Notamacropus eugenii: one gene and its partner. The protein of the gene in region 2 interacts with the protein of the main gene of each other region in a pairwise test. Links are inferred from orthologs where the notes say so. Each region holds a gene or a part of one and is shown on either strand. Other genes may lie near its edges. The genes, in order: ILF2 and EEF1G.

The links.
Region 1: the proteins of EEF1G (region 2) and ILF2 interact in a two-hybrid assay, tested with the Homo sapiens proteins (2 studies listed by BioGRID and IntAct). The two-hybrid records come from large-scale screens. The link is inferred for Notamacropus eugenii from reciprocal best matches to the Homo sapiens genes EEF1G and ILF2.

Annotation. Positions count from the first base shown.
Region 1 is NC_092873.1:377,643,823-377,659,312, forward strand, and holds the start of ILF2 (interleukin enhancer-binding factor 2), read right to left. Parts: upstream 7,937-15,490; 5' UTR 7,834-7,936; coding exon 7,829-7,833; intron 6,592-7,828; coding exon 6,532-6,591; intron 5,070-6,531; coding exon 5,027-5,069; intron 4,564-5,026; coding exon 4,459-4,563; intron 3,946-4,458; coding exon 3,868-3,945; intron 3,317-3,867; coding exon 3,214-3,316; intron 2,746-3,213; coding exon 2,680-2,745; intron 2,382-2,679; coding exon 2,265-2,381; intron 1,814-2,264; coding exon 1,735-1,813; intron 1,480-1,734; coding exon 1,392-1,479; intron 362-1,391; coding exon 300-361; intron 211-299; coding exon 96-210; intron 1-95. Other genes in the region: NPR1 (atrial natriuretic peptide receptor 1), read left to right, coding at 11,354-12,059, 12,875-13,074, 13,519-13,632, 14,249-14,384. UniProt on the Homo sapiens protein: Chromatin-interacting protein that forms a stable heterodimer with interleukin enhancer-binding factor 3/ILF3 and plays a role in several biological processes including transcription, innate immunity or cell growth.
Region 2 is NC_092873.1:15,702,954-15,718,174, forward strand, and holds the start of EEF1G (elongation factor 1-gamma), read right to left. Parts: upstream 6,089-15,221; 5' UTR 5,872-6,088; coding exon 5,860-5,871; intron 5,090-5,859; coding exon 4,931-5,089; intron 4,657-4,930; coding exon 4,593-4,656; intron 4,457-4,592; coding exon 4,314-4,456; intron 3,077-4,313; coding exon 2,933-3,076; intron 2,578-2,932; coding exon 2,448-2,577; intron 1,365-2,447; coding exon 1,157-1,364; intron 1-1,156. Other genes in the region: TUT1 (speckle targeted PIP5K1A-regulated poly(A) polymerase), read right to left, coding at 8,597-9,717, 9,922-10,014, 10,221-10,331, 10,519-10,628, 10,907-11,358, 11,773-11,873, 12,020-12,335, 12,513-12,703 and 1 more. UniProt on the Homo sapiens protein: Probably plays a role in anchoring the complex to other cellular components.

The DNA of each region.
Region 1 (15,490 bases), about 360 Mb from region 2:
TACTTCAACACTGGCCCCCAAATTAGTAAAGGAAATTTAACTTGGGACTGGGAGGAAGGCTAAGGTTCCAAGTAATTCTCTATCATTTTCATCACCTGTTGTTCCAGGGTCATGACTGTGTGTACTCGGAAGTTACCACTTTCACAGGGGTCAGTAATCCCTACTGAACCAGGAAGAAACAACCCAGCAGCCAGAATCTGAAGGCATCGCCTAGGACATAAGGGAAGGTGTTAAGAGTCAGCAAAGATAGGTCATCACTCTAAGGAAATCAGAATAGCTCCTAAGAGCAAACTCTGTACCTGTAAGCCACATTGAGGGCCAATGGTTGTCTGGTAGGGTTGTTCATCACAGCATAGTGGCCCTGGAAAAGACAAAACACTTAATAGGAAAGACCTGGAGAACCAAACCGATAAATTTACCTTTAATCTAAAATCATCATAGTGCAATATGGGAGACAAATCATGAGTAGAAAGAATCTTTCTCAAATGTATTTTACTAGGAGTTATGCCCTGAAGGCAAGGATTATTTATGCCTCTTTTGTCCACAATAATATCAATAATGGATCATAATTTTAATTTACTTCTCCACTCTCTGACTTAAATCTCAACTCGTTTTTTCAGAATCTGATGGCTTTCAAAGTTACTAGTCTCAATAAATACACAGAACTTCAGCCATCACTTTTGTTGTTCCCTAGTCCCTTCTGAGTCAAGTTCAGACTCCTTGGCATGGGCATCCCACATTACACCATCTGGCAACTCTACCTCTAGTCTTCTCTCATGTTACTTCCCTCCATGCTTTCTAGACTAGCCACCCATGATCACTCTGCCCCTGAACACACCGTGCTCGCTCTTTCATTTTGCTTAGGCTGCAGTTCTCGATGCCTAGAATACATCCTTAACATTTTTTAAAGCTCCCCTCTAGAGCCTGCCACCTCTCTTCTCTCAGATGCACCCACCCTGGTCTAGAATGAATACCTACTTCAGAGCCCTCCTGTACTGTACTTCTCTGAGGTGGTGTCATGTTCTATAGATGCTAAGCTCTCTGGAGGAAGGTGTGTCTTATCTAAAAGCTATGCTTTCCCCACAGTGTACTAGCATAGCACTTTGCACATGATAAATACCTACCATTTATATAATCCTTAAAGTTGCAAAAAATGCTTTATATTCATACATACATGATCACATTTGATCCTAACAACAACCCTATAAGGTAGGTACTGTTATTATCACCATCTTACAAATGAGGAAACTGGTTAAGAGAGTGGAGTAACTTGACAAAGGTCACATAATATATGAAGTAGTAGTCACATTCTGATCTTCCCAACTCTAATCTCATCACTCCTAACAAGTGTGTATAAATTTGAAAACCTAGTTGCCCCTTCCTTCACCTACCAAAAGGTCAAGGATCCAAGGAGTGAGAGGTTCAAAGCCAGGGAACCGAATCCTCAAGTCCTTCAGTAGACGGATGAGAACTTTCACCCTAAGGGGGAAAAGAACCCCAGGTCAGAAGGGCCAATAAATTGGACCCTAACCTTTTAAATGCTAGATACAAGATTTAAGGAAGTTAACTACAAGTCTCATTTTTCTTATGTTGCATAAAGTAAAAATGACAAATGCCTAGAGAAGAACTGGGGAGAAAATGAGTCAATGTGAGGGATCTCTACCATCCCCTGTGTCACTGCTGATACAGAAATGACAAAAGAATTGAGGTGACCTCATTGACTGGGTGACTTACGTAGACTGAGAAGCATTCTCTTCAAACCAACGAGCATGCCGAATGGCCGCCAAAGCACTCTGCAGAACCTTGATGTCCACTGGAAAAGAAAAAGAAATATCAGGCTGACATCTTAAATAAACACTGTCCTGTAAGCAACCTAATTCACTGTCACAAAACTTAAGTCACTGGGAAAAAAAAAAGGCATCTCAGTGCTCACACCTTGATTTCTCAACCTTGGGAGCAAGATGGCTACTGTACACTCTAAAGTATAAAGTTTTCCACAAATTTACTTTATTACTTTTCCTATTCAGCCTTCAAACCACTCTCATAGAAATTCTCACTTCTAAAATCTCCCCAGGGGGTAGGTATACTTATTCAGGATTTACAAGTCATGTAAGAAATCTAGTGACTTCTTCAGTCACAGGATGAGTCAAACACCAATTAAAGAGAACATAGTATTGAGCATGCTGAACAGCAAACAGCAAGCTCACTTGTACCCAATGCTTCTAGGTCACAAAATTCCCTGGCCAAGGAGGAGCTTGACTTACAATGTAGTTCTGGGTCCAGCTTTCGAAGATTAGGTGGCACTGTTGTAATGAGAATCTTCACTGTGGCATCAGCAGAACTGATTTCAAAGCCAGTTTCATTGGTCAGCATAGTCAAAACTGAAGAAACAAAACAAATGAAACAGTCTATCACATGGGCAAGGTATTGGAGGAGAGGAGCCTGGGGATGGAAAAAAAAATCATCTTTTCAAGTAATTCTGTGGTAGAGTTCAGAACAAGAACTTAGAACAAAGAGCTTAAAGTTGGTTGGGCCAGGGAATCAATTTTCACAGCCTCTGAGAAACAGCCATCCCTTACTGATGGTTTTGTTTGCCCAATCTGAATGATCCGTACATGCATTCCATACAGTACTCAGCACCAATAAGAATTCAATATATATTATATAATAAAGCCAAACCTTCTGCAGGATCCTGTGCTCTAAGACTTTCTACCACTTTGTTCCCCAAGGCTGCAACAGCTTCCACTAGACAAAAGAAAGTAGAAAATAAATACCCCTCTAATACCACTACCTGTTATTTCTACAGATCACCTAGCACTCTACTTATGTACCATGCCTAGAAAACAAGGATTTATCTTTGTAATATTGCAAGAATTATCTAACATTGCAGAAAATTCTAGTCCTGAAAAGAAAAGCAATAAATTCACAGCTCAAAACATTCCAGCCTTCATCCCCCATCCATACACAATTACATTTCCCAAATTCCATTATCATTTTTACGTCCAAGCTCTTTTTTTTCAGTTAGTAACTTTACAACATTTCTGATACCCTAAATCTATCTCCAAATTAATCACAACTTCCTTTTTCCCCCTCCACCTCCCCAGGTCTCTCTCTTTCCTCAAATTATCTCTCCTGGCAATTTGGACCTTAAACCCCCAATGCCTCAAACCCAGCCCGAGCTGGCTCCCAGGACCAAGAAAGCTTGTCACCCACATGTTGGCAGGATTTTCAGGATCACTACCAGATCAGCCACATTATGCCCTGTGGTCATCGTCCCTTTCTTGTAAGATCCTACTTGCCGGACCTCTTCAATTTGCTGTTGAAAAGGGGAGAGGAGTTAACATCAACAGAAAAAAGCTGTTGAAATCACAAAAGTATAGAGAGAAAAAAAGTTCTAATTTCAGTCTTTTTTTTTTTTTACATAGTATTATGTTATACGTATTACATAACCTACTATTAGCAAGATTAAGATATGCTATCTTAAAAGCAAAAAACACATCCACATTACAAATAAAAACTATGGTAATCAACACCAAGAACATTAAAGAAATTCCACTGTATTTTCCTTAGAGGCAGTTAGGTGGTATAAATGAATTGTGTAGGACTTGAAATCAGGAAAACCTGACTTAAATCCTACCTCAGACATTTACTAGCTATGTGAACCTGGGCAAATCACTTTAAGCTATCTTGGCCTTAATTTCCTTATCTGTAAAGAGGGAATAATATCACCTATTATTGCTGTGATCAAATGAAGTAACATATGTAAAACCCTATATAAAAACTAGCTATAAAGTGAAAAGAGGCCCAAGGAAACTATTACAGATGTAAGGCTATCTTCCTCCTGAGACTCAGTCAACAAAAACTTACCACCTCAAAGGTTCCTGGAGCCACAATCAGGTTGTCAATCACATTGTTGATTTTTGTTACCAGAGAAAGGATGGATGCCTGAAAATTAACATGAAATATAAAAGCCCAAGGTTAAAAAAAATCACCAAAAGGGTGTCAACAGCACCTGAACAACTGAACTAAACATTATGAGTGACAATACCAGGTATCAAGACTTAATAAAAACTTGTTACTTTGGGGTCTGGATCAAGATTCAATTGTTATAGAAGGTATAGCAATTTCAGTTTGGCTGGACTATAGAGTGTAAAAAGAGTAATGTACAATTAAGGTAAATAAGATGGGTTGGGGCCACATTCTGAAGTATTTTAAAGGCTAAACAGAACTTATATTTGATTCTAGAGGCAACAGAGTTACTACTGAGTAGGGAAGAGATATAGTTGGACCTATGCTTCAGGAAAATCAAATTCACTTCTTCTCAATACCTTCTTCCACCCAAAATGAGAAAGTTGAGGAACAACCAAGTGTAAGTCTCTGCAACTACTCCCAACACCATCTTCAGCTATTCATCGTAAACTATCAGGGGAAAACATCGAGAATATCCATAGAACAAACCTGTTCAGCAGAGTTGGGAGCAAGGTCCTGATTCCTCTTTAGCAATGCCTCACTGAAAGTGGTTTCATCAGGTGCAGGTTTGACTCGGGGAAATGCCATTTCACACTGAACCAGAAAGGAGTTGAAATGATAATAAGAATCACAATAATTGCTACAGAGATACAAACTATACGCGACAAAAATCCTGAGGAGTTATATTCTACCAGACATACAAAAGCCATAAAGGCAGTAAAATTCTATAGTAATATTTTATACAAAGTCAACAACTGTCTCTTCCAAAATATCATGACATCTTATCAAGGAAAAGAAAACTTAAGGTATCCAGAAAGTCAAAAACAAAAGTGACAGTATCATGAATTTCTGCCAATAACAACCAAAGTTACATCTTCTCACCCTGCATAGCCTCTTTCTGTGTGAAAAGAAATAAAAGTGGACCTCAAAACCCTTCCCAAAAAACCATATTTATTCAAATGAATTTGTGACTATACATCAGAGGACCATGGCCCTGCCCCTACAATTATAATAGCAAAAGTGGAAGACCCAAGTTCAATCAAAGTACCAAACTCACCACATAGAAATCAAATGGAATGTGTGGCACGAATGGCCTGAACCTTAAAAAAAAAAGAAAGAAAAGAAAGTCATTTCCCCTAACCAGGAGGACTAGACTTTCTGATACAACTACAAAAAGAAAGCATATGTAAAGTAAAGAAGGCATCAGTAAGGTTTAAATAAGAAAAAGATTCATTTTTGCTACTCAGTAAAAGTTAAGTCTATTCCTTTATCATGACATGTTATCATATCCACACTTGAATAAATACCAAATTCTGCAGATTGTTAAAAAATAAAGAGCAAGTGTTAGGAATACAGAACTTAAGATTCTTAATTTCTATGTGGCATCTAGCACTGTCCACCTACACAACCTTATTGTGATAAGATTAAACATTAAATGCTCAGAGCATTGGTAACATTGTGTGAAGACTTAGTAGGAGATATTAAAAATTTATACTAGCTTCACACCCACCCACCTACATTAGTTTGAAGTTTCCAGGATATGTATTATCATACAAATGTAGTTAATGAGCTAACATCTCTGTAGTTATCAGAGACCTTTGTAAACAACTACTGCTCTAAACTGGTGGCAAAGTCATCTGAGGTTATCTCTCTCCGCATGGCGGGAATGGAAGCAAAAATCAACTCACTGAAGGAACAATTCAGCAAATATTAAGCACATGTGCAAGATACCATAGTAGGTACTTGCTAAACCATCCCCACCTTCATATATCTTATAGTCTCACCAGAGAAGGGGAGTTGGGGAAAAGAATGACAACATGTACTCAAGTAAAATCAAAAATTATATAAAGAAGGGAGAAGATATTAACAACTAGAGAGAGGAAGAAACAGGGATCAGGAAAGACCCAAAAAAGTAGCCCTTGAATTTAACTCTGAAAGAAGTTAGGGATTCTAAGAAGTAGAGGTAAAAAGAGAGAACATTCCAGACATAGGAAACCACCTGTGCAAAGGCACAGAGGCAGGAAATGAAGTGTTATATATAGTGAATGGCTAGCAGGCTAACTGGAGTAGAAAAGGGAGAGAGTAAAAAGGAGTATTATGAAATAAGATAGGAAAGCCTAGAGACAACCAGATTGTGGAGGGCTTTAAATACCAAAGCAGAATTTGCATTTTATCCTAGCGGCACATGGAGATATTAAAGATTTTTGGATAGGGGAGTCACATGGTCAGATCTGTAAATTAGGAATATCAATATGGAAGCTGCAGATGACAAAGTAAAGAGACCAGAAGTGGGGATACCAATTATGAGGCTATTAAAATCATCTGGGGAAGATGTGGTAAGGACCTGGATAGAGGCAATCTGAATGAGTACAGAAAAGGGGATAAACATGAGATGTCAAGAAAGAGCACATGGGAAGAGCTGTCTCAGCCAGAATACGGCCTCATAAAAAGCAAGCAATATTTACCCACTCCAAATCCTCTATTGCAAGAGGCCTTGGACTAAAAAAATAATCAGGTGGTGGAAGACATACACCCCATCTGGCACTCAAAGGTGGTACTAACCCTCCTCCTGGTCCTCCCCTGGAGCCAAAGCGCCCTCCACGACCACGGCCTCTATCACCCCTATAAATAAGACAAGCAGTTGTTACACAGAGTGAAGAAACCAATAACATCCTCACCATAGGTTGATCCAAACCTTTTCCCACCCAGTTTCTTTTTCCCCCTGTTACGATTCAACTTAATTCAATGGGAACTGCTTACCCAACCTCTCAAACATTCAACTCCACAAGAATTTATTTTCAAAAATCTTTTTTATTGATATCTTTTGTTTTTACATCATGCTTATTACTGAATACATCCCTCCTGCTTCCCCTATCCCGGACAGCATTAAGAGAAAATTAAAAGAGAAAAGTTATACAAACTTGATCAACACAACCCCAGCATCTGGTGGTATATGTAATAATTCTGCATTACACTGCTCAAAAAACATTTATTAATGCAGAGGTACCTAGCCTAAGTAAATAAAGATGGTAGAATGACCTGGATCCAAGTCCTGCCTGAGATACATACTGGTTGGGTAACCCAGTAGCCTATGGAACTCACCTTCTTCACTGCCCTAGGCAACTCTAAAACTAATAGGTGGCATCCTGCATTAGCAGGGGAAATGCCTTATTGGGAATTCCCTACCACAGAAAGGAAATCGTGGGTGCAAGAATTTCCCTGCTCCGGGTCTAGGTGCTGAGGATGGAGGCATCTCTGGCCCTCAAGGAACTTACATTCGCTTCACAGTGAATGGGGGCACAGATAGCTTGACTGGTACAGAATTAAATCTGTAAATTCACTTTGGTCGTATTTTTGTTACATTGGCAGGGCCCATCCATGAGCACTGAATGTCCCTCCAGCTATCTGAGTTGTGCTTTCTGTCTCTGAGCAGGCTGTAACTGAATCTGTACGTAAGTATTCTGCGTTATGGTAGGTTTATTCCCAACTCTTTTACATTTAGCTTAAATGAGATCTCAATTTCTATTACTGCCGTACAAGGTAACTTGAAGAGACAGACAGAATGAACGCGAAGAACTCAGGACAGGCTTCCAGGTAAGAAGTGTCACCGGAGGCAAGGACTCCAGGCTCTCTGCCTTCCCTGTCCCCCGAGATGAGGTAGGAGCTCCCCTGGATTTCTCCACCCCCTCCCACAAAATACTGGAGTCATCCCTCCCCCACTCGGCCTAAGGGATCTTGGGATTCAGCCAACTCCTGGACACCCGGTCCCTCCAGCTGCCTGGTGCTCTGGCCTCACTGCCTCCGGCCTTGGTCCTCATCCCCCGCTCCAGGTCTCCCCTGGAGCCCCGCGGCACCTCACCTCATGGTTCCCACAGTCTTGAACAATGGAGGCCCCGCCAACCGCCCCTTCCTCTGAGAAGCCAACAACCGGAGAGGCCGCTTGCCGGCACGTTCCAATAAGACCAGTCACTATTGGCTGCTGCGTCATGCCGTCATCCACACCCATTGGTCTCCTCGGTCGAACAGAATTATCAGCCATTGGGAGAGCCTGCGGTACTGGAAAACAGCCAATGAGAAGCGACCTAACGAAAAGCAGCGACTGGAGCTACTTGTATGTAGAACGTTCGACAGGAGGCGCTGCGGAAAGGCTCACGTAGTATTGACGCACACGCCAGACAAGTTCTACATTCTTTATATAGGATTTAGCCAAGGCTGGCGATAGCTAGCAGAGTGGCGCAGCGGAAGCGTGCTGGGCCCATAACCCAGAGGTCGATGGATCGAAACCATCCTCTGCTAACAACACTTTTCGATTCCAACCACAAATTTTTCCATTCACCTTATTCAACCAGCGCTACTTTGCTAGAAGAAAAGGGATAATTTCAAACATAAATTGTAACATACGTTGTTTGCCCGAATTTAATACGCGTGAGTATGAGAATTAGAAGCAGAGGAAAATGAAAACCAGAGATAAAAAAGGGGGAAGACTGAGTCCCAGAAGTTTCAGGATTTAAACAGAAAAAAAGTGGAATCTCAAGGCAAATTGTGAAGAAATGGAAGATTCGAAGGGAAACTGAAGCAACAGGAATAAACGAAGGTGTCGAATAGGCTGAGCAAAGAATTCATTTTAACTAGCATTTATTAAGCACCTACTGCGTGCCAAGCACTGCACTAGTTGAGGATATGATATGAAAACAAAAATGAAGCCGTCCCTGACCTCAACAACTTATACTCTACGAGGTGGGAGACTTGGGGGGGAGGGGATTGAGGGGAGACTTACTTGACTTAATTTAGTAAGAGACTTAATTTACTTACAAATAAGTAAATACAAATATTCTTTAACAAATGCAAAGTAATAATAGTGGAGGAATAACAACTGGGGCATTCAGGAATGGCTTCTTGGACGAGGCAGCTCTTAACTGAACCTTAAAGGGAGAGAGCTTGAGGTGACATTTATAAAGCAAATAAATAACGCTGTTGGATGGGAGGGGGCGACAACAGGGAAAGTAAAGCTTCAGAAGCCCGGCCAGCTGGGTTGGAGTCAGCTTGTAAGAGGCCTTAAACGACAAGCAGAAAAGTTGGTGTTTTATCTCAGAGGTAACGGGAGCCATTGAAGTTTCTTCACAACTGGGTTTGGCTAATAACCATTTGGCAGCTGTGTGGAGGACGGATTGTGGAGGAGGGAGGTTGCCTGCATGCAGAGACACCAGTTAAGAAGCTCTTGAAATAGTTCCGATGAGAGGAAATGAGGGAGCTAACCATGTGAGTGGACGGAAGGAGACAGGCAAAAGACACGCTAATGAAATCTACAAAACTGATTACGCAAGAGAAAGTGGAGAGTCAAGATTGTGAACCTGGGTGATGCCCTTAACAGAAAAAGGGAAGTTATAAGGAAAAGAGGGTTTAGGGGAAAGAAAACGAGTTCTGATTTGAATAGATCAACTTTGAAATGTCTATGGGACATCCAGATGGAAGTGCCCGGCAAGCTGCTGGAGATGGGAAACTGGGGAGTGGAGGGGGGGAAAGAAAGGAATGAGAAATTGTCTCATTATTAGCCTCGGGTAATTAATAATTAATCTGACCTTCACTTCTTTTCATCTCAGTTCCCACATCTGTAAAATGGATATAATAATAGCATTCACCTCTCAGGGTGGTTATAAGGCTCAAATGAGATAATATGAACTAATATTTGTGAAGTTCTTTGCAAACCTTTAAAGGGTTATAGAACTGCTACTGTTGTGGTTGATGTGGTGGTGATGGTGATGATGATGACGATGACGATGATGATGATGATGATGATGATGATGATGATGATGATGATGATGATGATGATTAACGGAAGCTGGCCTGGGGCACCTCGGGGGAAATTTGTTCTTGATGACCTGCCAGGCTGGAACCGGCAACATCAGAGATGACTACTGACCACTGGGTGGCAGAATGACTCCACAGTTGTCGGGACTGCATCGAGTAGTCCAGGCTGAGCTCCCTCCAGTCCCTGAGTCACGTCGCACACCCCACACCCCACCCTGCCTCCTTCTCGCTCTTCCACCAAAGGCTCCCAAACCCCGACGGGCGGTCGCTAGCCCTCGGGCCATATCTTCTAGGAGTTGGGATAGGATCCAAAGCTTTGCTTCATCAGCCGGAGAAGGGAGGAAACCTCCAAAGACCCCCTCGTGGAATAGTCTTCACCAAAGCTCCCACATTGCGGGATCTGTGCCCATCAGTCCTGGGTGCTATGTCTTCATCTCTCTCCTCCAGCCTAGGAACCCGAGCGACCTAAAAATTCTCACTTTGTTCCTTGGGCAAGTCTTTTCACGTCTCTGGGGCTCAGTTTCCTCAACTGTTGGAATTGACGGCTTCTGAGGCCCCTTGCTGCTCTACAATCTAAAATTATGTGATGCATCTCCGTGGCTCAGTCCTGGAGGGGAAATCGCGTACAGATGGAGAGCCTGGACTCCTGATTCCCAGCTCAATTCTCACCCTCTTTCCCTTTTCCCATACTCCAACTCATCATTCCCATAAATCTAGCCCACCCCCCGCCTCCAATTTTATTCTAGCAGATTCTCAAGTAAGCAAATGCTTCTCTCACCAGATGTTACAAGGTGGAAGGGGAAAGATAAGAGGAAGGGAAGGAGGAAGAGGACACAGCTGTTAGAGCACACAGGCACATGCACACAACAAACACCTCCTCAACAAACTTCCCGTCCTCTAGAAAGGCTTTCTCACCCGTACCAGATCCCCAAGGGAGGAAGGGGAGACAGAAGTAGGAGTGGTTAGAGGGACTTCGAAGAAGGCGGGGAGGTAGGAAGATAGAGGCAGCCAGATTCCGGAGAGGAAGGAGTTAAAGATCAGGAATTGGTTCTTTTGCCATTGAGTCGGAGAGGGAAGAAGGGAGGGCTCCAGGTCCTTCCCAGTCCCCCTAAGGCAGACGGAGAGTTTGGCTGGACAACCCCTCTGCCCTCAGTGGCACCCTTAGATCACAGACAAGAGCGCGCACACTCACACCCCTCCTCCTTCCCTTTTCCCCTCCTTTCTTATCTCTCCCACTTCTCTCACTAGCATAGACACACACACACACACACACACACACGCACGCACGCACGCACTCTTCCACTCTCCCTCTCACCCACCTGCCCTCCTGCAACCTCCCTCTGAGACACGCTCATTCCCTGGCACGCTAGCACTGTCTGCCCCTTCTGCTCATTCTCACCCCTTCGAATTCCTCTTGTCTCTCACCCAGACTGAGGGGACACCCGGGGCCCAGGAGTCTCCCTTCCCCGCTCCCCGGAGATGGACTCGATGCTTCACTGAGAGGGAAGAGGTAGCGTGGAGAGGGGAGGGGACGTGGTTGGGCGCTCTCTCTGCCCTGTTCTCTCCAGCTGAGGCAATGCGCGCCCCAAAGTGCCCCTCGGGCGTCCTCCTCCCCTTCCTCGTCCAGTTCGTCCTCCGGGGGTGCCAGGCGAAGAACCTGACAGTGGCCGTGGTCCTACCAGTGACCAACACCACGTACCCGTGGTCGTGGTCACGCGTGGGACCGGCCGTGGAGATGGCATTGAAGAGGATGAACGAACGGTCGGACCTGCTGCCGGGCTGGACCGCGGTGTACCAGCTGGGCAGCAGCGAGAACCCCCAAGGGGTGTGCTCCGACAGCTGGGCACCCTTGGTTGCGGTGGACCTCAAAGTGGAATACCACCCGGCTGCGTTTCTGGGACCAGGGTGCGTGTATTCCGCCGCGCCTGTGGGCCGCTTTACCGCGCACTGGAACGTGCCAATGCTGACCGCCGGGGCGTCCGCGCTGGGCTTCGGCTCCAAGGATGAGTACGCCCTGACCACCCGCACCGGTCCGAGCCATGTCAAGATCGGGGACTTCGTGGCCACGCTGCACCAGCAGCTGGGCTGGGAGCGCCGCACACTCCTGCTCTACAACGACCGTCCCCCAGTCGGGGACGACCGGCCCTGCTTCTTTGCCATCGAAGGGCTGTACGTTCGGCTCCGGGCTCGACTCAACATTACCGTGGACTACCTGCAGTTTGCCGAGGGTGACCTGGAGCTCTATAGCGCACTTCTGCGCGACGTGCAACAAAAGGGCAGAAGTAAGGGGGTACTCTGAGACCCCATGGGAGGAGCCCCTTCGGGAAAGGGAGGCCGGCTTTGACCGGTACCTCACCACTCCTACACCCTCAGGATCCCTCAAGCTCCAGACCCAGACGGGCCTTCGTCTCCCAACCAGAGTGTGCCGCCACTGGCTCCTGCCCTTCTCCTGTCCCTTCTTCGCCCTCCTCACCCCGCTTTCTTACTTTGCTTTTTCTGTTCTGCTCCTGTTTCTCCGGCTCTTTCTTCCCTACTTCCTCCCATTTTCCACTCCTCATTCTTCCCCTGCTTTCCCATTTCCCCATCTTTCCTGTCCTCTGTGTGAATTATTTCTTCTGTCTTCTTTTCTACTTCCTTCCTTGAGTTTGTCCATCTCACACCTATGGTCTCCCTCTCCCTCTTTTCCTCATTTCCCTTTTCTTTCTTTTTTTCACCCAGCCTTCCTCTCTTCCTATACTCCCTGGACCCTCTGTCCTTTCTGGTTATCTCCCCCTTCTCCCCTTGGGTTCAATTTTCTCTTTCCTTTTCCAATTTCCACTTTCTCCTTCCCACCTTTTCTTTTGTTACTTTAGTAGTGGGGAGGTCAAAGAGTTCCTATTGTCTTCATCTCAGTCTTTCTTCAGTCCTCCTTCCCCTGCCATAGCCCAAGCTGAACCTGGAGGTACTGCTCACCTCGGGGCTGGAGGACAGGTCTCTAAAATAAAGGAATCTCTTTCTTGGCCCTTATTAACCCCATCTCTCCCCTCCTTCAGCCCCAAACTTTTCCATTAAATTCTTATCTCCTGCTCATCTGACTCCTTCTTGTCCTCTTCCACAGTCATCTATATCTGCAGTTCTCCCAACACATTCAGAGACCTGATGCTTCTGGCCCAGGAAGCAGGGATGACCGAGGGAGACTATATTTTCTTTTACCTTGATGTCTTCGGAAAGAGCCTGCAGGATGGGCGTAGCCCTATCTCTGGAAGGCCATGGCAGCAGGGGGATAGGTATGATGCCATTGCCCGAAAGGCCTTCCAGGTGGGTACCCCAAAGTCCTGGTTAGAACCTACCTATCATTGTATGATGCTATGCTGGAGGCTTATCCTTCTTTTTGCTTCTCTGGTCCTTGACATACTTCCAGAATGGGGATGAGGTTGGGACAGGTTATCAGGGAGTCAGAGGATGGCTGCTAGAGGAGATGGGTTGATGACTACAGTTGGGGCTTGAGAGTCAAATGAATGACAAATTAGAGGAATGAGGTAAGTCTGGAGTTCAGAGGTGCCTTGGGGTGAGCAGGAGTTTGGACAATTATCTGTCTATTCCTTTGCTTCTGAACTTAGGACTTTAGACTGATCAAAGAGAAACAGAGAAACCCAAGGGCGTGAACACAATATCCCTGGGAATGAGGAGCCCTGTAGTATTGCCCTTTCAGCTGTATCCCTAATAATGCCTTCTTTCCCTCTCCTCCTGCCCCATGGCCAGGCTGCTAAAATCATCACATATAAGGAGCCTGATAATCCTGAGTATCTGGAATTTCTGCAGCAGCTCAAAGATTTAGCCCAGAAGAAATTTAACTTCACAGTGGAGGATGGGCTGGTAAGGAAGCCCCATTCTGGCTCCCAAGGCCATGTTCAGCCTCACATAGCCCTGCCCTAGTGTGACCAACTCACACACACACCATACCCACTGCCCTTCCCATTACAACCTTTCCACCCACAGGAGCTCCATGCTTCCATCCTAATGCCTTTTGCTTCATCTTCTCTATGTTTTTGCTCTACTCACTGTGCTCTGTAGAATGCAAGTAGGCTCTTTGAAAGCAGACTTTCTTTTTATCTCTTTGTATACCAACTGTCTAGAATTGCCCAGTACCTTTCCCACAGTGAGTGCTTAATATTTGATTTGTATTATAGCCCTGTTTCCCCTACACATTGTGCCCACTCTCCACATTCCTCCCCTCTCCCCCACCATGTCACTTTCCCTGGTCTTTTACTCCAAAGCCACCATATCTATTCTCCCAGTTCTTCCTGGTGCTCCTCATCCCTCCATTACCTATCTAGGTATCTCCTCCTCTATTGCCCTGGTAGTGTCTCCTGCCTGTTCCTGGTCCCTGCTGATCTCTACTTTCCACCACCACCCCACTATGTTCTTATCCAGTGTTCTCCCCTAGCCTTCTGAGATAGGATGATCCCTCACCATCACCCTTCCTCAACAGGTGAACACCATTGCAGCCTCCTTCTATGATGGGCTTCTGATCTATGCCCAAGCAGTGACCGAGACACTGGACAGTGGTGGTTCAGCCACTGATGGAGAAGCTGTCACAAGAAGGATGTGGAATCGAAGTTTCTATGGTCAGAGCCTTGTGGGTTGGGATGTGTGTGTATGTGTGTGTGTGTGTGTGTGTGTGTGTGTGTGTGTGTGTGTGTGTGTGTGTGTAAAACAGGTGGATAGCATGATGTGAAAGAAAAGAAAAAATTCTAAGGAGATTCAGGAGCTCCTAAATGCTTCAGCCAGAGAGATCCTTGAGAAGTCATCTCAACCAGGGCGTAGCCTCCTCACTATTTCATTACCTATCACAAGGAAGAAGAATCCATCTCCATTTAAAGCCCTTTACCCCATCTCTTAGAGGAGGACTCCATTGCCTTCATCTGGTCTCCATCCCACTGTATCCTGAATTTCCATAAGAAAAGCACACAGAAAGAAAGAAGAAAACCAAATTACCTATATCAAAAATGAAAAGGGTGAACTAACCTCCAATGAGGAGGAAATTTAAAAAATAATTGGAAATTACGTTGCCCAGCTGTATGCCCATAAATTCAACAATCTAAATGAGATGGATGATTATTTTTAAAAAATATAATTTGCCCAGATTAACAGAAAAGGAAGTTGAATACTTAAACAAACCCATCTCAGAAAAAGAAATTGAACAAGCCATCAATGAACTCCCTTGGAAAAAATCTCCAGGGTCAGATGGATTTACAAGTAAATTCTATCAAACATTTAAAGAACAGTTAATTCCAATACTATATAGACTATTTGGGAAAATTGGGGAAGGAGTTCTACCAAATTCTTTTTATGATACAAATATGGTTCTGATACCTAAACCAGGAAGAGCCAAAACAGAGAAAGAAAATTATAGACCAATTTTTCTAATGAATATAGATGCAAAAATTTTTAATAAGATATTAGCAAAAAGAATACAGCAACTTATCATGAGAATAATACATTATGATCAGGTAGGATTTATACCAGGAATGCAGGGCTGGTTCAACATTAGGAAAACTATTAGCCTTATTGATCATATCAACAACAAAACTAACAGAAACCACATGATTATCTCAATAGATGCAGAAAAAGCTTTTGACAAAATACAACACCCATTCCTATTGAAAACACTGGAGAGCATAGGAATAAATGGAACTTTTCATAAAATAATAAGCAGTACCTACCTAAAACC
Region 2 (15,221 bases):
TGGCTTCCTCTCTTCCATCAGAGGCACAAAATGCTCCTGTGGGAGCAAAATCCACTAGCCCATTCAATGCATACACAATCCCAGATCAGAACCAGGAAACCCAGGGAGACATATTCGAACTTAGTGATCAGGGGAGTGAGGGGCTGTCCATCCAACCCCAACTCCAGGCCCCCAGCTGCCTCTAAAGAATGGCCCAGGGTCTTTGGGCTCAACAGTTGCTGGAGAACCATCTCTGGGGTTAAGAGGAAAACCAGTGTCATCAGCAATACCCACAGGCTCTGGGGAATGCTGGGATCCATCCCCTACGGATCAGTTAGCTGCCACCTGCCTCCTCCAGGTGAGATGCTCACATCCACACAGGACAGAAACAGTAGCTGGTTTTCATAGGTGCTATTGACACCCAATACAGCGAGCCAAAGGACAGCCCAATCTCACCAAGTCTCTGGAGCAGGAGCACTCATGGGCAGCTACCTCACTTCTGACCTGGACCCTCCTCTTCCTCTTGGGGATCTTATCAGTCCCCAGGGGTTCAATGCTAATGTCTATACCCATGACCTCCTGCTCTACGTATTCAGCCCCCTACCACTTGTCTGACTGCCTTTCAGACATCCCAAGCCCAATGGCCAGCGGACACCTGAAACTCACCATATTCAGAACAGAAGCCATGCTCTTTCCACCAAACACTTGCCTCTCCCTCCTTTCCCTCTTTGTGCTACGGGCCAGGGCTGACATCTGCTCATCCTCATCTTCCTCCCTCCCTCACCAAACATTTCTCTTCCCCTCTCACCTGAACTACTACAAGAAACACCTGATCTCTCCTGATTCCAGTCCATCCCCACACCATAGGTGCCAGAGGCAGGTCAGTCCCCTGCTCAGTAAGCTACCATGGCTCCCAATTACTACCCAATCCCTTCCTGCCTTCCCAGTCTGGAAGGTTCTGTCTCTCACTGTCCTCCTTCCTCAGAGGCTCAGCCCAAGCCCCACTTGCTCCCTCCCTCCATGGCCAGCACTAAGGCACATCTCCTGATTCTTGGCTAGGCCTGACTCCTGTGCAGACCCAGTGACTGGCACACCCTCTCCCCCACTGGGAAGCCCACAGTAAGCATTTCATAAATGCTTCTAAATAACTGCCTGGCTGCCCCAGGCTGTCTCCTACCTCTTGGGCAGGTGGGCAAAGGGATCCTTGGCCTTGGGCTCTGCAGCCAGAGCCTGGTCACACTCGTCCATCTCCTCCTCTGGGCCTGGGGTTGCAGGAGCCTTCTTCTCCTCCTTCCGCTCAGCCTGGGCCTTCTGTTTTTCTTCTCGCTGTCCCTTCTCTTTTCTTGGGGCCTCCTTCTTAGGCTGACTCTCAGCAAACTTTTTAGCTAGAGAAAGGGAGAAACGGGACCCGCTAAAGCTCCATCTCTGGTGGCTCTCACACAGACACCATGACTCCAAGAGCAGAGAGGGACTGCAGGCGGGGGCAGAGCCTCCACCTGGAGCTGCCCAGCCCAGTGCCCAGCCAGAGCTTCAGCAATGTCTATTCTAGAAAGCAGGGGTCATCGATGCCAATGGGGAAAGGCAAAGGGGAAGACCACTCAACTCAATGCCTCAGGCTTATTTGGGCAGAATGGCGGAAAGCAGTCTGGCAGAAATCAGATTCAGACCAACACCTTACACCACATGCCATACTGAGATCTAATAGGGAGCTGGCCTGAAAGTCAAAGGTCAGGCCACAAAAAATGAGAAGGGAAGTGATTACAATTACCACCAATTCCAAGAACTAGGAGAGTCCTGAACATATGAACCTTAAAGGCTTTTGTATGAATAAGAACTGAGCAACAGTCAAGAGGGGAAAAATCTTTCCTTCAACTATCTCTGACAAGGGTCTAGCTGCCAAGATGACTAAGGTAAGTAATGGGTGCACTCAATGCAGAGCCCCCAATACATAAGGACACACAAGTGCAGGAATGACAGTTCCCCACCCACCATATGCCAAACAGGGGATTCCCTGAGGCTTCACAATCAGCCAGCAAGGGGGTGGGAGCCTGGGCTCCCCCTACCCACCAGAACCCACTACACCACAATTCCCTTTCTGTACCGCAGAAACTTGATGCCCATGGACTGGGTGGGGAAACGCACATGAGAGTGATGGAACACAACTGTACCATTAGGAAATGACCATGAAGAAACATGGGAAGACACATGAACAGATGCAGAATAAGGAAAGCAGGAAAACACATCAACAACAGGCAAAATGGAGAACAGCACAAAACAGTCAGTGCCAATGAGGAATGCCTCCAAAGGCCGCAGAAGATGCCTGTCTCCACCACTTTGGCAGAGGTGGGGGGCCACGGATAAGTAATACTACATATACCACCAGCTTTGTCACCATGCTAGGCTTCAGGAAGGGGGACGACATGGCATGCAAAAGCTTCCAAAGCCATCACCAACATTTTCATACTTACCATCAAATTGTGCCATCTTCTCGCAGAGCTTCACCTCTCCCAACACCGCCCGGAACTGGGGCTGGTGGATGCACGTGAGGAACCAGCGGTTGGTGTTGGGAAAGGCCTGCCGGAAAGACGGCTCTAAGACCTGGAGGAACAGACCAGGAGGTGGCTCAGTGCTGGCTGGGCCTTACAAAGGCCTCCCCTGCTTACACTAATGAGGGAGGTACCCCTGGGTGGGAACCGCTCAACCCAAAGTAACCCAAGAGTGTGGCCCATGGGGGGGGGGGGGGGAGCAGGATTCTAGCAAGCATTGACCCCATCTCCCTTCCCAGCAAACACAGAGCCCCCATAAGTCTCAACAACCAGGAGGCAATTGCAGGAACCAAGGGACCTTGAAAGTAGAAAAAGGGCTGGGCTGGGGAGGCAGCCTCATGTCTCAGGCTTGTCCTGGCCAGGGCCAGCCCTCTGTCCTTACCCACTCTGTTACTTGCCCCACTCACCTGCTTATAGAGCCACAAGAGGGTACACACAACTGTGATGTCAGCCAGAGTCACACGCTCCCCAACCAGGAAAGTCCGGGTCTTCAGGTGAGCATCAAGCAGCCCCAGAACCCGCCTCACCTCCTCCTTGGCATTCTCTGTGGCCTGGGGGGGAGACAAGGAAATACAGTGACCTCAGGGCACCTTTATGGTCCAGCCTCGCTCCACCTCTACAAAAGCAGACCTGGAGGCACATCAGCTTGCTCCAGCTCAGACTCTGGGTTGATCGGCGCCCAACCTTGACTTCTACAACAGCCCAGTCAGGCTTCACAGCTTCTTGGCCCCATGTGCCATTCTGGGGACGCTTATCTTCTGCTTCTATTCAATCTCAGGTTAACTTTTGCCCCTTTGGGGCCAGGCAGATGGCCCTTCCAAATGCTCCCTTCTGCAGAACCTTCCCTGACCATGTGACCTGGACAGGCCCCAGGGCTGGAGAGCAGGTCAGCACCAAGAGAGGAAATGTGCTGAGTGACCAACAGCTGACAGTGCTATATTCTCTCACTACAACTTGGCCCCACTCGATCAATGCCTTCTAGAGCCTCTTTCTAATGCCAACTTCTACCAATTTAGAAACCATAGGATGCAGAGCTGGAGGGAATCTTCAAGGTCATCTGGTCCTTCCTTACAGAGGAAGGAAACTGAGGCCAGAGAAGGGAAATTATCTGACCAAGACAGAGGCAGAATCAGGGCTCACATCTCCCTCCCTCTCCTCAGACTGGGTGGAGGGCACAACCTCAAGGAGGGGGATCTCTGGATAAAACTGCACAAGAGAAGCTTGGCCATCACAGCTATACTAATTCCCAGTGGTCACAGACCAAGAAAGAAATGCCAAGGACCACATCCTCTGGGGGTCCTCCTTTAGCTTCTCTATAGAAAGAAGGCATGAGTCTGGAGGATGTAAGGGTTCCTTCTATCAGCTGGGATTCCCACCATGCTTTCTCCTGGCACCAGCCCCTCCATTCAATCAGCACAAACACCTCCTCTGCCAGGCACTGTGCCAGGTGCTGGAGGCAAAAGAGTCTGTGCCCTCAAAAAGCTTATATTCTACTGGAGAAGACAACACATGTCTACATACACACAGCAAAGGGCAAAGGACCAGCAAATGCCTTAGGAAGGAGGCATCTGAATTGAATCTTGGAGGAAAGGAGGGTGTCTGAGAGGGAGTGTTCCCAGAAAGGTGGACGGCTAACACAAAGCAACAGTAAGGGTTGTGTCCGTGGTGGACCACAGAGAAGGGCAGGGCGCTGATGCCTGCTCTGGCAGGAGTCAGGTCAGCTCTGTGCTTTCTGAAGCTGCCTGTGGCTAGGGTCCTGCAGCCCACCTTCCCATTCCCAGGGCTCACCTGTTTGTTATGGTGCATGATGCCCAGAGTGGGGAACACCCAGGTACTAGCTGGAGGAACGATGTCACTGTCGGCAAAGCTCACCCACTGGATCACTTGGGCAGCGGCCTCTGGAGTCGCGCCACGAAGGTCATCATTGCTCACTGCAGAAGGGAGGAAAGAAGAGGGTCATTCTGCAAGAAAGCCCACCATCCCAAAAACAGCTGCTCCCACTGACTACAAACAGCCTTCTAGAGCCCCTGCCCATCTGATCCCCTCAAAGAGCCCCCCCAAAATTACCATAGTGTGCAATGGCATTGCTTTCAAATACACAGAACCCATCATCACCCTCAAAAGCTGGAACCTGGGGGCAAAAGCAGACACAGAGAAGACACTAAGTCCTGAGAAACCAAAGGAGCCCATCCCCAGCAGCCTGGGGGCAATCTAGCACAAAGCTGAGCCAGCACAAGAGGTTCAGACCCATTTCTCCCACCCCAGAACCTAGAACGCGTAGGGGGTACAGCGGCCTGGGGGGCGAACCATACTGGAGCCGCTGCCCCGACCCCAGACCAGCCCAGGATTTACCTCGGAGGTGAAGGAAAGGCTGGAGAACTCCGGCTCGGGGAAGACCTACTCACCTTGCCAGCGGGGAATTTTCGGAGGAATTCGGGGGTGCGGTTGGTCTGACCGAAGTGGAAGTGGGGAGGGGCGGACAGCACGCGGATCTGGGCCCCACTGTACTGGGCAGCGATGAGGGCCTTGAAGGCCCGCCAGTTCTCAGGGTACGTGTACAGGGTCTGTGGAGACAGCCGCAGCCTTAGACACGGCTGCTTCCCGCAGTGAGCCCGCAAGCTCACCAGGCGGGCCCCCGGAGCCCCCGGAGCGGGGACCTCTGCAGGGCTTCCCAGCCATCCCCCCCAAGGCCCTGCTCAAGGGAATCACAAGCGTGGCCCCGCGGGGCCAGCCGGTGAAGGAGCACGAACGGGGCTCACTGGGCAGGCAGGGCCCCCCACGAGGACGACGGGGTCCCCAGACCGCCTGAGGTCAGAGCCCCGCTCCGGCGCCCCCGACCACGCGGCCCCACAGCACACACCTGACCCACGAGGAGGGGGAGTCCCATGAACCCCGATCACACCCCCCCTTGCCACAGCCCCGGCTCATCACCCTCGGCCCTCACGGCCTGGCCCCTGCCCTTAGCCCCCCACCCCCCAGGGCAGCCCTCCCGCCCCAGGCGGCCTCAGCCCCCAGGCCAAGCCTCCGGCGCCGGGCCGGAGGAAGGGCAAGGGGTCCAGTCCGGAGGCCGGCCACGGGCACGGGCAGGCGCGGGGATCTCCAAGCGCTCCGGGGCTGGAGCAGGCCCGGGCACTGGCTCCGGGGCGGCGGCCCCGGCCAGCCTCAGTTTCTCCCCCCGCCGCCGCCTCTGGGCCGCGGGTGCGGCCCACAACGGCCGCCCCGGCTCGGGCCGGGCCCCCCCACGCCGCGGGGCCCCCCGGGAGGTGGGCGGCGGCGGGGGGGACCAAGGATGGCGGCGGATACGCTACCCGGGGCCCGGGGCGGCCCAACTTACCCCGGCCGCCATGGTGATTCCGCAGAGAAAGGGGGTGGGGACGTCGGCGCTGCCGCAAAGCGAGTCCGGCCGGGGGGGCGGGGAGGGGAGGAGGAGGGAGGAGGGAAGGGAGGGAGGAAGGGAGGGAGGGAGGGAGGGAGGGACGGGTGGGAGGGGAGAGCGGCCGGAAAGCGAGGAAGGCGTCGAACGGAGCCGCGCGACAGGAGGGCGAGCCCTCCCCGCACCGGCCGAAGTAACGAAGCGGTGCGCGCCTGCGCGCAGGGCGCCGCCGAGGGCCCGCGCGAGAGGCCAGTTGGCTTCGGAGCACTTCGGAGTCTCCTCCCCCGGCCCGCCCCGGCCCGCCACGCCCCTCCCCGAAGGGGTGGAGCCGGAGCCAGAGCTGCTCTCGGCTGGCTAGCCCTGTTTAGAGGCTGCCTGGGCGCGCCCCCGCCCGCCTCCTAGCGCGTGCTGTTGGCAGCGGGGAACCTAGGCGGTCCTGTCCTGTCACCTCCACTCGCATCTGGGGAACCTGAGGCATGGGGGGCGGCGAGAGGCGCCAGAGTGTACACATAGCTGGTCCCAGGGTCAAGAAGACACAAGTTCAAATGCAGCCTCATATTTTTATTGTTATTTTAAATGTATTTTTATTTGCTTCGTTAAATACCTCCTAATTACATGGAAAAAAGTTTTATTTCTAATTAGCATATTTATTTCTTATTTATCATACATATTGTTATATAATAAATATTCATTTACATTTATATGTATTCATGTTTTTAAATTTAGTTCCAAATTTTCTGCCCTTAAGAAGACAATCACGTATAAACTCAGGAATAACATTTCCTTATTAGCTATGTTACAGAAGAAAACATACACAGAAAAAAAATACAAGGGAAATTAAGAAAGTTTTTTTTTTAAGTCAGCCTCCATCTGCTTTCAGAATTTATCACCTCTCTGGAGGTAGATAGCATTTTTCATCATGGATCCTTCGGAACTGTCTTGGATCATTGCAGAGAATAACTAGGTCATCCACAGTTGATCCTCTCCATATTACTGTTCCTGTGTCCAATGTTCTCCCGGTTCTGTTCATTTCACTTTGCATCAGTTCATTTAAGTCTTTCCAGGTTTTTCTGAAACATCGCCTGCAACGTTTCTTATAGCACAATGCTATTCCATCACAATCGTTTGCCACAACCTGTTCAGCCATTCTCCAACAGATGGGTATCCTCTCAACTTCCAATTCTTTACCATCAAAAAAAATGCTGTCATAAATATTTTTGTACAAATGGGTTCCTTTCCCTTTTCTTTGATCTCTGGTATACAGACCTAGCAGTGGTATTTTTGAGTCCAAGAGCATACACAGTTTAATAGTCCTTTGGGTATAGTTCCAAATAGTTCTCCAGAAAGACTGGACCAGCTCCACCAACATGACATTAACGTCCCTGCTTCTCCACATCACTTTCAGCATTTGTCATTTGTCTTTTCTTTCATATTAGTCATTCGGATGGATGTGAGGTAGTAGCTCAGAGTTGTTTTAATGTGCATCTCTAACCAGTAGTGATTTAAAGCATGTTTTCATTTGTCTACTAATAGCTTTGATTTCTTCTAAAAACTGCCTGCTCCATATCCTTTGACCACTTATCAACTGGGGAATGCCTCTGCTGTGCATAAATCTGGTTAATTTCCCCGTATGTTTGAGAAATGAAGCCCTTTTATCAGCCCTTTATTTATTTTTCACCAAGTTTTCTTTTGAATTTTGGTTAATCTATTAGTTTTGCTGGTGCAAAACTTTTTAATTTCATGTTATCAAAATTATCCATTTTAATTCCCATGAGCCTATCTCTGGTTTGGTCATAAACTCCTTTATCAACAGATCTGACAGTCACATTTTTCCATGCTCCCCTAATTTACTCATATTATCCTGTATGTCTAAATTATTTATCCCTTCTGACTTTATCATGGAATACAGCACGAGATATTGGCCTGTGCCTTGTTTCTGCCAAACTCTTCATTTTTCCAGCAGTTTTTGTTAAATGGCAAATGCTTGTCCCCAAAGCCTAGAGCTTTGGAGTTATGAAACATCAGATTACTAGTCACTACAGTCTCCTAACTACCTCATCTATTCCACTGATCGTCCACTACTTTGATTTCTTAGCCAGTACCAGATTGTTTTATGACTATTTTGTAACATAGTTTGAAATCTGGTACTATCAGGCTGCCTGTACGTTTTTTCCCATCAAAAGAATTATCCTTTGATATTCTTGACCTTTTGTTCTGTTTTTTTTTTTAGCTCTGTAACTCTCATAATATGGTCAACTTTGCTGACAGTTTTCCTAATTTTGAACTAACTCTGCCTTCCTACTATAAATCCCACCTGATCATAGCCTATGTTCTTTGTGATATATTGCTGTAATCTCCTTGCTCGTATTTAAAAATTTTTGCATTGATATTAAGGAAATTGGGTAAGCCTTATCTGTACTGTCTTTGGTTTCAGGAGAATCTTTTTAAGTGAATAAAATGCATATAATTATAAAGGAAACCTTGCAAGTAAGTAATAATAAAGATGCACCTTTTCCCCCATCCAAGGTTACACCCCTCCATAAAATGTACCCGCAGATCCCCAGGTAGAAATTTCTGGCTCAGACCCTAAGGTAATAGTCTGGTAAAATCCTGTATAACCCAGCCCCAGGGCAGTGCCCCAAAGATAAGACCTAGAGACAAAGCTCATACAAAAGCACTTTATTGCCCCCTCCTCTCTTCAGTCATCCTTCTCACATCCTAGGATGCCCCGCACAGTTCGAGGTAGGAAACCATGTAAGAAATGATGGAGATCGGGGAACAGGCTCTGGGGATCCTGGAGCTGTGTGAGAGTGAGAAACTGGCCAGTGGGGCTCAGGGAAGCAGTGAAGGTGAGGAGAGGCTGCGGCAGCCGTGGCAGCTCTGGCTCTGCTCTCTGCTTCCTGCTCTCCTGGGCTATCAGCTCCTGGGTCACCAGAGCCTCTGCCTGCAGCCAGTTCATTTCACCTTTGGCTTGCTGCTGCAACTGCCTGCGCACCCGCCGCCGCCCAAGCCATACCCGGTGCCAGAGCGTACAGAGCCAGGTCTGTGCCTTCCCTGGCCCTGTCTCCTTCTCCCCCTGAGTTACTTCTACCTCTTCACTCCCTAAGTTATCTAGCTGCTTTACTTCCCTTTCTACTAAATGCTGCCCAAGTTCCGGCAGCTGCTCCCCTGATGGCCCATGGTCCCCAGTGGCTGATGATTGGCTCTCCTCACCATCAGTCTCCAGCACCATCTCTTCCACCCCAGCCTCTCCTTGGTGCCCCTCAGATGCCTGTTGCTCCTCATTCTGCCCTTTCTCCCTCTCTACTCGTAGCCTTTTACTTGGTCCTCCGTGGGGACACTTCTCATCTCCAACTTCTTCTGGCCTCCGTCTCTTGCAGCTCTGCTCTATCTGGCACCCCAGTGTTTCCTCTAACACTTGGGTAATGGCAGCACAGAGCTGGGTGAAGGGGGCAAGGGGCAGAGGAATGGGAGTAACAGACAGCAGGGAGTTGGCAGAGCTGGGTTGCAGGAGAGGAAGCAAACCCCAGTCCCGGCCTCGGGGAGACCGACGCTGGAACTGGAGGCTTCGGCAGTAATTAGCTGACTCCTGACAACAGTTCTGCAGGCGACCAGCTACCCGGCCTGTCACGTTGGCAGCCACGTTGTGACTTAGGTCAAAAGGGTCCTGGAGGTTCAGAGGGCCAAGACGTAAGCCCCCCCAGAGACCAGGGGGCAGACCCTCGGCTATGGGCAGTGGCTGGCCTTCCCTCAGAGATAGCAGTGAGCCTCGGAGGTCCCAAGTAGAGACACAGGAAAAGAACTGAGCCAGAAGGACAGCTGTTGGGAGGCCAAATTGAGGCTGAGTGAAAATGAGCTGTTCCATCCAGATCCATCCCAAGGAAGGGCTGGAGATGGGATTCCCCACCCTTCTTGCTCCTAGTCTGGCCTCTAGGAGCACAAGGGCCCTATGGTCCCACCCAGCCCACCTCCAACCAAAGTCCAGGTTCCTCCCCTCCTCCTCGGCTGTCCCCAGGCACTTACCAAGGGGCTCTGTGTTGGTGCTGGGCTCCAGGCGGGATGCCTCTTGGGGGAAGCTGCAATCCCAGCCATCTACCTCGACCCGTTCCTCCTCACCTGGGGATACAAGAAAGGGCAGCTCTAGCAAAGAAACAATGGAAAAGCATCCAGGAGACAGTTCTCACCAAGATCCCCAGACAACTCACAGTTACTAAAGACAGGAGAATTGCCTGTCCACTGGGAAGATGGTGATGTGGGCAGACACAACTACAGACAAAGATAAGGGCAAGGGCGTCAGGAGCCTCTGACTTGGGATGTCATACCTGCCATCTGGGTGAGCTTTGTGAGGGAAGGCAGCACAGGAGGGTCCCGGGTTTGCAGGAAGTGGATCACCAAGAGAGTCAACGCATAATTACTCAGAAGAGGGCCACTCCCTGGGCAGAAAACTGAGGCTTACCAGTAGCCACAGAGAGCGTCTGAGTGAGCCTCCTGTTTACTGCCCCCAGCCTGCTGCACGTGGCCTAAGTCTGTGCCAGCCCCTGCCTTTACCCCTCTCCCCCATCCCCCCACCCTCCCCAGGGAGCACAGGAACTGCCTCCTCCTCATGCCCACCTTCCTTACCTGTCAGCCCTCGTCTCTGAGCCCAACAGCGCAGGGTATAGACCAGGGGCCGTACTCGCCCATCTAGGGCACAACAGAGACTCAGGAACCGTGAATTATATAACGCCAGTCTAGGATAAGGAGGAGACCCAGGTTCACCATCCCCAGAAGAGACTGCCTCATCCCCCCACTTCCCTCCTCCAGTTACTTTCTGCTTCCTTCTCTGTCCATCTGTGATTCCCTGGGGGCAGAAGCAAGCTTGTTTTGTGTCTGTACCCCCAGGATCCAGGACATTACCTGGAATGCAAACAATACTGAACTGACTGAAATGGGGCTGTGGGCAGCAGTGACAGGACAGGAAGGAAAAGGGGCAGAACAAAACAAGGACCTCGGGAAAGACACCAAGCACCTGTTACTGAGGGAGATGTCGCCGTGAAGACCAGAGGGTCGATGGCAGAATTTGGCCACAGGACGTCGAGCCGAGGGCACAACCCAGACACTGTGCACCCCAGGGACACAGCCTCGGAGGACAGACCCAACAAGCTCCAGCATGGCCTCTCCCTCCCCCTCCGCCCCCTTGAGTGCTCCAAGTTCCCAGGTCTTCCCCAAGTCCCTTTCTCCCACCTCCTCCTGGATGGGTGAAACTGGGGGCAAGGACTGTGGGGAGGCCAGGGCCTCAGAGGCTAGGGCCGAGTCAGGGGTCGGAGGGGCTAGGGAGGAGGTGGGGGTTTCAGAGTCCTGGGGGGAAGCTGGGGCCTGAGAGTCTACAGGGGAAACTGGAGTGGAGGCCAAGGCTTGAGGATCTAGTGGAGAAGCAAGGGCTGAGTCCAACGCTGGAGAGGCTGGGGCCTTTGGATCCTGCTGTAAGGGAGAGACAAGTTGGGCCCATGATCCCTTGGGGTTCCCTCCATCACCCATCCTCAGACCATATACTATAGATCGAGCTGCTCAGTCTCAGCACAGCACAGTAGTATCCTCCCTAATCTACCCACCCTATAACTATTTAGTTAGGCTTTCTTTTTTAAGGCAAAGCAGTATAAAGTAAAGCATGCTGGGCTAAAATCCGGAGAGATCTGGGTTCAAATTCCACTGCCAACATCTACTAGCTGAGTGACCACAGGCAAATGACTTAAATTTCTGAGACTCAGTTTCCTCATCTGAACAACTGGGAACACAAAAGCCATAGGCCCATTAAGGGTCCAATGAGATTCATCCATAGTGTTCTCTACAAGCCCACTCTCCCCACCCACTGCACCAGGCTCTCTAGCATCTCACCTGTGGCCCCTCCAAATCCCCTAGATCCAGGAAGAGGTCAAGGTCACATCCATGAACATCAAAGCCATTTGTAGAGGAGCCAAAGGGACGGATGACACAGCCTGGGTGGTGAGCACAGCATCGAGATCAGGGGACATTCAAAGAGACGCCAGCTGTACAACTGAATGGGCAGGACAGGTGCTCATGATGGAGGCACTGACTAGAGGCCTAGGGATCAGAGAGTCTGAGGGGGATGGACAAGCCTCACCAGGGAAGAACTCAGAGAAGACCTCCTGCAGCAAGGTCACGACAAGCCCCCGAAGCTGGCGTTCTGCCTCAGAAAGCTCTCGAAGGCCCACCAGCTGCACCATCTGGGCCTCCACATCTGGAGCCTGTGCCAAAGCCTGCGTCAGCTGCTGGTCATCTGGCGGTGCCCCTCTGGACGATTTGGGAGCGGGGGTCTGGAATTCCTTCTGCTGCCGAGGCCGTACACGTAGCCGATGGCCACCGAGGGTGTGCTGAGGCTGGGACAAGACAGCATTCCGGGTGCCCAGGTCTCCCATTTCAACAATGGCAAACACTCCCTGTTAGGCCGCAGCAGAGAAAAGCTCTCAGACACTCCTCTCCAATCACCATGGCCCAACCCCAAGCCCCACCATCTCCTATCTCCTCCAGCCTGTCCCTAGAGTCTCCCTGACCTGGATCTTACTCCCTCCTCCATCAGATTGCTCACAAGGGCTTGCCCAGGCTGGCCCCACTACCTTGTCCTTGTCCATGACAATGCTGGCCACAGGTCCAAAGGCCTGGAAGTACTCAGAGAGCTGGGCTGGATCTACACCACGTGGAAAACCACTGACAAACACGCTCCGCAGGCCCTGGGCCCGGCGTGCAGCTCGAAGCTCTTCAAGGCGGCGATGCTTCTTGCCTGCAAGGTGGGCATCCAGGCTGGGCCCTGAAATACACACATTAAGCACGTGCTGCTTCCAAGGATGCAGCAACAAAGTACTGACTGTTTTAATCTACATGGGGGAAAGAGCCAAACCAAACGCTTCAGGCAAACCACAGTTCGAGCTGGGTGGAGCTTCAAGAGGCCATGGAGGCCCCTCAACATAGAGTTGAGGAAACTGAAGCCCAGAGAACCTAAGTGACTTGCAATGGGTCACACAGAAAGGAAACATGAGGATCCCCTTTGAACCCAGGTCTTCTCCCTCCAACTAGGGTATCACCTGGGGAGATCATTCCTGGGCTGACCCTAAAAGGCACAGACAGAATCATGGAGTCTGGGGAGGTCAAGAGGAAAGCACGGTGGGAGCCAGAAGGGGGTTAGACAGGGGCCAGATGAGGGATGCCATGCTATGACAGGCAAAGGAAGCCAGGTTTGGTTTTATAGGCAACAAAAACTCACAGAAGGGCTTTGGGCCCCGGCATGATTCTGGCGGTGTGAGGGGTGAGGGAAGGATGGGAGAGTGTGATGGAGGATGGAAGATGGAGGGCAGAGGAGGGAGGGAAGAGACTGGGGGCAGAGACACCAGTCAGGAGGAGATAACAAGAGTCTGGGTTGGGGGGAGGGCGACATGGGCCTGACTTTGGGAGGCAAGAGAAGGGACACAGAATTGACATGACTGGAATGCGAGGTGAGAGCCCAGGAGGAGGACAGCAGAAATGAGATTGGGAGATGAGGCCAGTCAGGTCAGGAGACTGATGCGCTTGGCTCAGAACATGCTGGGATTGAACAGAAGAGATCCAGGGAAAGGGTCCAGGAGGCAGGGGGAAGACACAGGAGGAGCAGGAAGAGATGTGGAATGATCTGCATAGAGATGGCTACAGAAGAGAGTCCCTAAGAAGAGTGTGTATGGAGAAGGGAAGGGAGTGGGCCCTCAGGACACCTGTGCCAAGGTCCCAGGCTGAAAAGTTAGAGAAAACAATGATTCACAAGGAGCAACAGCACCACAGAAATACCTCAGGGGAGATGTCAGTAGAGTGCAGCAAAAAAAGAATCTCCATGATAATGGTCCTGGACGAGATTCTGGGATACTGGGATACAAAGCCCTTAGAAATGTCCACAAGGACAAGGACTGAGAAAAGGCTATCGAGGACCCTGGGGAGAGCAAGCTCATGGAGCAGTGACATGAGGTGTGGAGGGGGAGGCCAGGGTGCCACAGACAAGTAAAGTCTTCAGGAGAGACAGAAGGGGAGACAAAGAGACAGGAGGCCAAGGGCTCTGACAAGGAGAAGTCACAGCTCTAGAGGCCAGAGAAAAGAAGATGAAGAGGACGACATAGAAAAGTCTGGAGGTAGAGAGCAGGAGACAGACCAGCTCAATCAGGGATAAGGGCAGGAATTGGACAAGGAGGTTTAGAAAACCCATTGGAGGGCATGAAAGAGTCCATCAAAGATCAACCGAAAGGACTGTCCTGCAGCAGGGAGTGTCCACTTGAGATAAGATCACTTGAATGTGTAGAATGTTCAGCTGAGCTGATTCTGGGGTTTCTTTGAGTGGCTTAGAAACAAAAGCAGAGCAGGCCTACAACGGGAAGGGAGGGAAGGCTGAGGATGGGCAGAGAATGACCAGGATAAAAGGGCATGCTCTTCAAGAGTGGAAGACAGTGGTTTTTAAATTAAATTTTATTTTGACTCATTTTCTCTTTCTGCCCTCCCCCATTGAGAAAACAAGAACAGTAAAATCTCTGTTATGAATAAATATGGTCAAGCAATACACCTTCAGTGTGGGTTATGTCCACAAATGCAGATGTTTGGGTAGATACAAAAGTATCTGGGCAGAGATACAAAGTTACACCCTGGAATGTTCTCTGCCCCCAGTCCTTTCTCTCTCTACCAGAGGTGGGCCACAGGCTTCATTCCAAACTCTGGGATGGCAGGGAGGTAGAGGTTCCATTGAACTGCCCACCCTGGCAGGTCTATAAAGCTTGTACCAGGGACGTGGCCTTGGAAGATGTTGGCCCTTGGTCTCCTCGATGCCGGCAGTGGGGAGGCAGGTGACCTGGGCAGCACTGGAGATGCCCCAAGAGCCGCGTCATGAGAGTGGCCACAGAACTCCTAGACCCTGGATGGCCCTGGGTGCTTGGATGCTGAGGCCAAGCAGACCCAGGCCTTCCTCGTGCCTGGGTTTGTGCCTCTGAAGGGAGGGGAGCTCGCCTGGATGCTTGTAAGGAAGACCGAGGAGGGCCCGAATTCAAATTCAGCCTCGAACACTTGGGTGACCCTGAACAAACCTTTTCGCCGCTGTCTGCCTCTGTTCCCTCCCACCCCACGCCCCCCAGCTGGGCTTCTGCCTTCGCCCTGACTTTTGACCCCGTGAGACACTGTTGCCCAGCGGCCAGAGCTCCGAACTTGGAGCCCGTTAGGTAGACAAGAGTTCGAATCCCATCTCTGGTTCAGGTAACTTCCCCGGGCCCTCGGTTTCCGCACTGGAGTAAACGGCCAAAGGCCGCGGAACCGCAGCTACGGGA